2 linked regions of the Canis lupus familiaris genome follow. The protein of the gene in region 2 purifies or fractionates together with the protein of the main gene of each other region. This does not show direct contact. Links are inferred from orthologs where the notes say so. Each region holds a gene or a part of one and is shown on either strand. Other genes may lie near its edges. The genes, in order: NUFIP1 and NOP58.

What was found.
Region 1: the proteins of NOP58 (region 2) and NUFIP1 purify together in Homo sapiens (co-immunoprecipitation; 3 studies listed by BioGRID and IntAct, with this or other methods). This does not show direct contact. The link is inferred for Canis lupus familiaris from reciprocal best matches to the Homo sapiens genes NOP58 and NUFIP1.

Annotation. Positions count from the first base shown.
Region 1 is NC_049243.1:6,033,654-6,037,468, reverse strand, and holds part of NUFIP1 (nuclear fragile X mental retardation-interacting protein 1), read right to left. Parts: intron 3,657-3,815; coding exon 3,463-3,656; intron 1-3,462. UniProt on the Homo sapiens protein: Binds RNA.
Region 2 is NC_049258.1:11,113,000-11,117,454, reverse strand, and holds the start of NOP58 (nucleolar protein 58), read right to left. Parts: upstream 2,988-4,455; 5' UTR 2,764-2,987; coding exon 2,719-2,763; intron 1-2,718. UniProt on the Homo sapiens protein: Required for the biogenesis of box C/D snoRNAs such as U3, U8 and U14 snoRNAs. Part of the small subunit (SSU) processome, first precursor of the small eukaryotic ribosomal subunit.

The sequences.
Region 1 (3,815 bases), on a different chromosome or scaffold from region 2:
GTAGGCATGCTGGGAATATTTAAGCATGTGGAAAAATGGTACACATAGTTTTTTGTAGCTATACCTGGAGTGAAAAGTTGAAGAACCAACCAAACTATTGATTTGGGAATTGTAAATATCCAGAAGAAATTCCAGGTAAAAGATGACATGAATTTAAATGAAATCTTTTCTACAAAATTAAGTTACCCTAACTTGATCCTTTTTTTATTTCCTTAAAGAATAATATTATTAAAAAAAAGAAAAAATAGTAATATTATAAATCTATAACTTACTTGTAAGATTTTTACATTCACGACTTACATAATTATCTTTGGCCCTCAATATAGGTAAAGGTCTCCACATTGACACCAAAATAAAATTACTTGAGGTCTCTCATATCATTACTCCTAGGAATCTGACTAAACACTTTCTATCACGAGGATGAAAGATACTTACTACTGTTTCTCACATCTAAAGTATCTCCTGAAGACCTAGATACAGGCTTAATAGAGCAAAATATATAATCATCTTTTTGTTGGTATTTCACCAGATTACCATATATTGAAATACTGCTTTAAAAATGAGAAACAGGGACGCCCAGGTGGCTCAGTGGTTGAGCTTCTGCCTTCAGCTCAGGGCATGATCCTGAAGTCCTGGGATGGAGTTCCGCATCAGGCTCCCCACAGAGAGCCTGCTTCTCCCCCTATCTATGTCTCTGCCTCTCTCCATGTGTCTCTCATGAATAAATAAATAAAATCTTTTTAAAAATAAATAAAAATAAAAATGAGAAACAGGGGTGCCTGGGTGGTTCAGTTGGTTAAGTGTCTGCCTTCAGCTCAGGTCATGATCTCAGGGTCCTGGGATCTAGCCCTGCCTCAGGCTCCCTGCTCAGCAAGGAGCCTGCTTCCTCCTCTCACTCTGCCTCTATGCTCTCCCTATCTCTTTCTCAAATAAATAAATAAATAAAATATTTTTAAAATAAAAAATAAAAATGAGAAAACAAAGAGGGGCCTAGCTGGTTCAGTCAATAGAGCATGTGACTCTTGATCTAGGGTTGGGAATTTGAGCCCCATGTTGGGTGCAGAGATTTTTTTTTTTTTTTAAAGATTTTATTTATTTATTTATTCATGAGAGACACAGAGAGAGAGAGGCAGAGACAGAGGCAGAGGGAGAAGCAGGCTCCATGCAGGGAGCCTGATGCGGGACTCGATCCTGGGTCTCCAGAATCACTCCCTGGGCCGAAGGCGGTGCTAAACTGCTGAGCCACCAGGGCTGTCCCAAGAGATTTTTTTTTTTTTTTTTAAAAAGAGAGCAAGAGAGAAAGAGAGAGGAAGAAAACAGAAGTACCCATCTACCAAAGCTAACAGAATGATGACTTCAACATTAGAGTCCCTTGAATGTTCATTTAGAGAACTGCATGAAGAATTACATAATTTTCAAATTAGTAACTTACTAATTATAACAGTATTCTCAGTATTCTTTGTATCTGTGTTTCAAGTATTCTAATGACATGAAAGTTCATATTTGGATATAGATGGTTTTAATCATCAAGGTCATACACTGTAAATCTGAAAAAGTGTGGGCACTAACATCTTTTGAAGGAAAAAAAAAATCAGTGCCCAAGAGTAATCTTGGCCCCAAACATCATCTGCCTTTTCTTTGCTATCATCAGCAAGGATAAAAAGATGCCTTTTCTAAACTCTCTCCCACATCTCAACTATCCTAGGCTCATACAGTATTTTTTTAGATAAATTCAAACTTCACATTTAGAAGAAGCATAGAGTCTAGTGGAATCAGACTCCTAAATTCAAACAGCTGGGCTAAGGTAAATTATTTACCCTGTGTCCCTCAGTTCTAAAATGCAAGTAGCAGGACACCTGGGTGGCTCAGTTGTTGAGCGTCTGCCTTCGGCTCAGGGCATGATCCTAGGTCCGGGGATTGAGTCCCACATTGGGCTCCCTTCAAGGAGCCTGCTTCTCCCTCTGTCTATGTCTCTCTCTCGCTCTCTCTCTGTACCTCTCATGAATGAACAAATAAAATCTTAAAAAAAATAAATAAAACACAAGTAGCAACAGTATATATGCACTGTAAAAGATCTGAAAACTGGAAACACATGTATAAAGCATGTAGAACACCATTAGTACCTTACTCAATAAGTATTAGTTGGTGTTAAAATAATTATTATTATTCTAACTAAATTATAAGCTGTTATTCTTAGCCAAGATCCTTTCCATCTTAATTCCGTCATTGAATTAGTTATCTCATTTCTTGCCATCTGTAAGTTTAATAATTTGCCATGTTTATCATAGAAGCCACTATCTTCCAAGCTAAACAGGGCCTGCTAGCATCAGTCCACTCACTTATATTCTTTCTTTGCAGAAGAGAAAACACATGCAGTAAGATAAAGCCTCATAATGTTATTGGAAGGAAAGGTAGTAGAAATATTTACATCTACATTTACATTTTGCGGAAGGGAAAACGGAGCCTCAGAGGCTGGATGATATCTATGTGGTTAGCAGCATTTTGGTCCTTTAATTTTTCAACTTATTAAGGCAGAGTAAGGGAATTCAAAGCTAATATAAATATATTCTATACACTGAGGAAGAACAGTATCAATTATAATGAAACAGTAATATTTACTCAGAGGGATCTTATTCATGCTCAGCAGCATAAATGATAACTGGCTTCCGTTGAAATACTCACTTCATAGGTGGGGAAAAATTAACCTAATTGAGCAAATTTGAATCTGTAGCATCAATATATTGAAAACAATTTCTTTTTTAAAAGACTTACTTATTTTAGAGAGAGTCAGAGCACGGGAGTGGAGGGTGGTGGGCAGGAGGGAAACAAAGGGAGAGAGAGAGAGAGCATCCCAAGCAAACTCCTCACTGAGCATAGAGCCTGACATGGGGCTCCATCTCATGACCTGATCATGACCTGAGCCAAAATCAAGAGTCGGATGCTTAACTGACAGAGTAACTAACCCACACACTCCCATACAAAACAATCTGAAAACAATTTCCAAGGTTACACCATACAATGGGGGCACCTGGGTAGCTCAGTTCGTTAAGTGTCTGCCTTCAGTTCAGGTCATGATCCCAGAGACCTGGGATCCAGCCCCACGCCAGGCTCTCTGCTCAGCAAAGAGTCTGCTTCTCTCTCTCATTCTACCTCTGTACTCTCCCTCTCTCTGTAATAAATAAAATATTTTTTAAAAGATTATACCATACTATGAAAATTAGCCAATAAATATAATTTTTTCCATATCCTGCCTGCTTCACACACTCATTCCCCAAGATTCAGAAAAGATATCCTGAAATGAGGGTTTTGACAAGACACTTCTATTATAAATAAAAACAAAAGCATCATTCTATTTTTTTTACATATTTGTCATTAAACTCTCCACAAACAATGCTGTGAAGAATCAACTGTAGGATCATGTTCTATGCATTTGTAAACACGCGGCTTTCCTGTTTAGCTTACCAGAATCAGTGTTTACTAAAACACCCAGAGGGTCTGAATTTGCTTCAGGTGGATCTTCAGGTTTCGAATCACGCAAGCAATTGCCAGATCCAATGGCCGCTTTCTGTCCAACACAGTCATTTTTCCATTTGTGATGCCTGCCGGGACTTCTGATCTTTGCCATCTGTGAATGTCTGGACATCCCCTTCATCTTCCTGGAGTGAGAAAAATGCAACTCTTAATATGAAAGGCAATGACCTCTCAAGAAAAACCTAAAAAATACTGACCACAAAAGAAATTTAGCTGCCGTATCAATCATTTGTAGCCTAGTACATTAAAGAAATCAAAATAAATAAACTCGATGGCTTCCAAAG
Region 2 (4,455 bases):
ATAACTGGGTCTGACTAACCTGCAAATAGCCAAAAGGTAACTTTTGAAGGTATTCTAAAACTGGATTGCAACTTGCACAGTTGTATAAATTTTACTAAAATGTATCAAACTGTATTTACAATAGGTGAGTTATACAGTATGTAAGATACCCAATAAATGAAGCTGGAAAAACATACTGCTCAGTAATCAATATAGAAACTCTGGTATACACAAAAAAAATCTCTTCCTCCAGGCCCTAAGGAAATGAACACAACACTACACTGCGCAGCTGCACTACACACTGTAACTATTAAAATTTAAATGAATTAAAACTAAGAATTCGTTTCCAGAGCTTTACCAACCAAATTTCAAATGCTAAATAGTTGTACGTGGGTAGTGGCAATCATATTGGGTAGCACAGCTACAGAAGGCCTGGGATAAGTAATAAAAGACATGCCTTTAGTCTTACTATGTATGCCACATGACACAAGGCACACAGGTTGAGTTTTTACAATATTCTAAAAATGGAAATAGTTCCTTTAGTATTGTCTTTGGATTCATATATAACCTTGTTAACATTCAATAATTCTTTTACAGGGATCCCTGGGTGGCGCAGCGGTTTGGCGCCTGCCTTTGGCCCAGGGCGCGATCCTGGAGACCCGGGATCAAATCCCACGTCGGGCTCCCGGTGCATGGAGCCTGCTTCTCCCTCTGCCTATGTCTCTGCCTCTCTCTCTCTCTGTCTGTGTGACTATCATAAATAAATAAAAATTTAAAAAAAAATAAAGTGTACAACTTACTTTTTAGTATATTTTCACAATTGTGCAACCACTACCAATTCCAGAACATACTCTATGTCTACTTTACTAACAATAATGGCTATGAATTGAAATATTTGGAACTGAATCATTATTTCCATATATTTAGTCCTTTAGTTACTTCTCCATTATGCTACATAAACCATAAACCACAATTTAATAATGTGAACAGTAATTTGCAAATGAATAGCGTTAAAAAACCGACAGAATACCTGACTTATTTTTATGGAGAATACTCTTCATTAAAAGAAATAAGTAATTCATCAAGAGAAATGAATATTTTATGACCTAGGCCTAGAAACCAGACAACTGCTAAGCCAATTCCCTCCCACCATCAGAGGCAACCAGTGGACTGTGCAGTTGCGCCTCCCTCTTAGTGCAGAGCAGTATACCTAACATCTATTTACCTGAAATTCAACCATATACAGTAATTCAAAATATGATAGACCATGTTAGCTAAGAAAATTTGGGGGCATGTGCAAAATTCTACTTAACAATTTAGAAAAAGATGGGACACCTGGGTGGCTCAGAGGTTGAGCTGCTGCCTCCGGCTCCGGGTATGGTCCTGGAGATCCAGGATTGAGCCCCATATTGGGCTCCCTGCACGGAGCCTGCTTCTCCCTCTGCCTGTGTCTCTGCCTCTCATGAATAAATAAATAAAATCTTTAAAAGTAAAACAGACACACTCCGAAGATCTAAAGCCTTTTACAGTCCCTTAAAATTTCTACTACTCCCCAATTGCAGACAACCCCAATGAGAAAAAAATAAGCAAAACCAGCTTTTGGCTTTTATGACTTTATCACTTAATATTAACATTAACAAGTGCAAATGGAACTGTATTTTCAATGTCTGAAAAAAAATCTAAAAAAAAAAAGGTCAAAAGCTCCTCGAAATCAACACTTTGGAATGCTGATTCCAGATTTTCTGCACTCATGGCACATACATAACCGTACTATACACGTTACCCAGCATTTTTACCCTAATATCAGCACATATACGAAAATTCTGGGTTTTGTTCCTACATTTGTAGAGGTCAGAAGACTGCATGGCATGGATAGCATTCAGTTTACCTCAACTTTGGAACATCTCAAGAAAGTCCCATTGTTTAACCAGCTCCGTGCTGATAATCTTTAAATTTCAGATTTTCCCTATTAAGACAAATCTCAAACTGATGACCACAGGCATAGATTTCTCCCTTAGGTCTTAAACTTAAAATGAGGAGGGCACTTCCACATCTCACAGACGCTCCACGTTTCACAGCAACATTGGACCTTTTCAGTATCTGCTCCCCCAACCCCCGCCCGGAAAAAAACAAGACAAAACAAAACAAAACAAAACAAAAAAACACTCCCGTTTTTCTTCTCTTCTCCACCATCGCGTACCCACTTAATCCCAAACCCACAGTCTTCATCGGCCCAATGCCACCAGTTCTACCTTCTAAATTTCCCCTGGCATTTGCTTCTCGACATACTAACCTGAATCCAAGCACTTTCATCTTACCTAGATTAAGGCAAAAAACATACCTGGTTCCTTTCTGGCTTCTTGTAACATATATTCTCCACGCGGGAAAGCAACTTCATTAAAAGACTTTAGATCAGGTCGTTCCTCTCCTTAAAACCTTTCAATCGGTTCTTAAAACCACTCAGAATAAACCTCAAGTTCCTTACCTTTACCTGTGAAATCGGTAAGACCCCTGCCCTCCTCTCTCGCCGGCCGAATCCTCTCAACAGAACCTGGCGCGGCCACGTGTTCACCGGAACACGCGTCTCCCAGGCCCACAGCCTTCCCCTGACTTTAGAGCAGGGGGACACAAACGGCTCCCGCAGGATCCCGAGCACTGTCGCCCTCCCCTTACGTCTCTCCCCGTCCTCGCCTGCCCAACACCAGCCTCGCCTCTCCAACGGTTCAATCTGCAACTTACCTTAAAGATGGCGTAGCCCACGGACGTCTCAAACAGCACCAGCATGCTGAGGCCGGGTCAGGGCACTGCGCGGCCCGCCGCGTGCTCTTACACCCGTGAAAAGAAACCAAACTTGCGGCCCCCAAAGGCCTGCAAGGCCGCAGCAGGCCAGGCACAAACGCGCGCGCCTGCTCGCAGAACCGGACCACGTTGCCTGACCGTTCCAACCGACTGTGTGTAGAATGTTTCAACGCGCTTCTCCTTCTCCAAGGCTCCTGGGATCCGACGTCACTTCCGACAGGCAGCATGCCGTCGCTTCCGGTATGTTCCCGCCAACCGGGTGGGTGATGGGAGGGGGAGAGGGGAGGGGAAAAAAAAGAGCGAGAAAGAGAAAGAAAGTGTCGCGAGATTTCTTTGGACTAAAGCGAGATTTTAAGCGGTGAGCTGCGCTGAAACCCAATAGGGAAGAAGGTCGCTTTTTACTATTTTTGAAGTTCCTATAGGTGATATAATTTATCTTGAGAGAAATGCGGAGCCGTCTCCGTCCGTTTGCCCCAGGCGTCTGGAATTGGGAAATGCCAGCCGCTTAACACCTGGAGAGCGCTGCCTTGAAGCGAGGCTCTCGGGCGGCCGCGGGACCGTCCCGGTCTACGCGAGCACGCCCGGCCGAACTGATTCTTAGCACAGGTGTCTTTCACGTATATGCAGACCTCTCCCGTTTTTTTTTTTTTTTTTTTTTAAGATTTTATTTATTTATTCATGAGACACAGAGAGGCAGAGACATAGGCAGAGGAGCAGGCTCGGTGCAGGGAGCCCGACGCGGGACTCGACCCCCGGGTCTCCGGGGTCACGCCCTGGGCTAAACCTCTGGGCCACCCGGGCTGCCCAGACCTCTCCCGTTTTTTGTTACAGTGATTACAGGGTATAGGCATTTAGACTTAGCGGAAGTTGCTTTTCTGGGACCTTTCAGTTTGAGTGACGGATTTAAAAACCTCTGTTAGTCCACAAGTCTGACTTTTTTTAGGAGTGAAATTTCCTTCCTCACGTTCCAGGCCTTATATGCCGATGGCTGTAAACATTAGGTTGCAATTTGCGGAAAGTTTTGGAACACTAAGTAACTTGATTTTTTCTTTTTTTTTTTTCCTCCTCCAAGCGGCTCTGCAACCTAGAATCAAGAGGAATGAAAATCCTGGACTGAATAGCAGAAAAGATGAGGGGGGAGGGGAATCAAGGGATTGGGGAATCTAGGGTACAGACACGAGCATGGTTGATTATACCCATAAGATTCAGTGTGGTCAGGGAGGCAAGAGAAACCAAAATGGGGCAGCCCGGGTGGCTCAGCCGTTTAGCGCCGCCTTCAGCCCAGGGCGCGATCCTGGAGACCGGGGATCGGGTCCCACATCGGGCTCCCTGCATGGAGCCTGCTTCTCTCTCTCTCTCTCTCTCTCTCTCTCTCTCTCTCTCTCTCTCTCGTCTCTCATGAATGAATAAATAGAAATCTTAAAAAAAAAAAAAAAAAAGAAACCAAAATGGCTTGATTGGGAAAGGAAGAGTGGGTGAAGTAGAAGCACTGGGTCTGTTAGTGGTATTATATCATTTCATAATATATATCTTTTTTTGGATCTAGTTTTATTTTTTAATTTTATTTTTTTTTAAATAATCTCTACATCCAAGGTGGGGCTCAAGCCTACAACTCCAGAATCAAAAGTCACATGTTAAATCCACTGAGCCAGGCAGGTGCCTCTGTCTAGTTTTCTT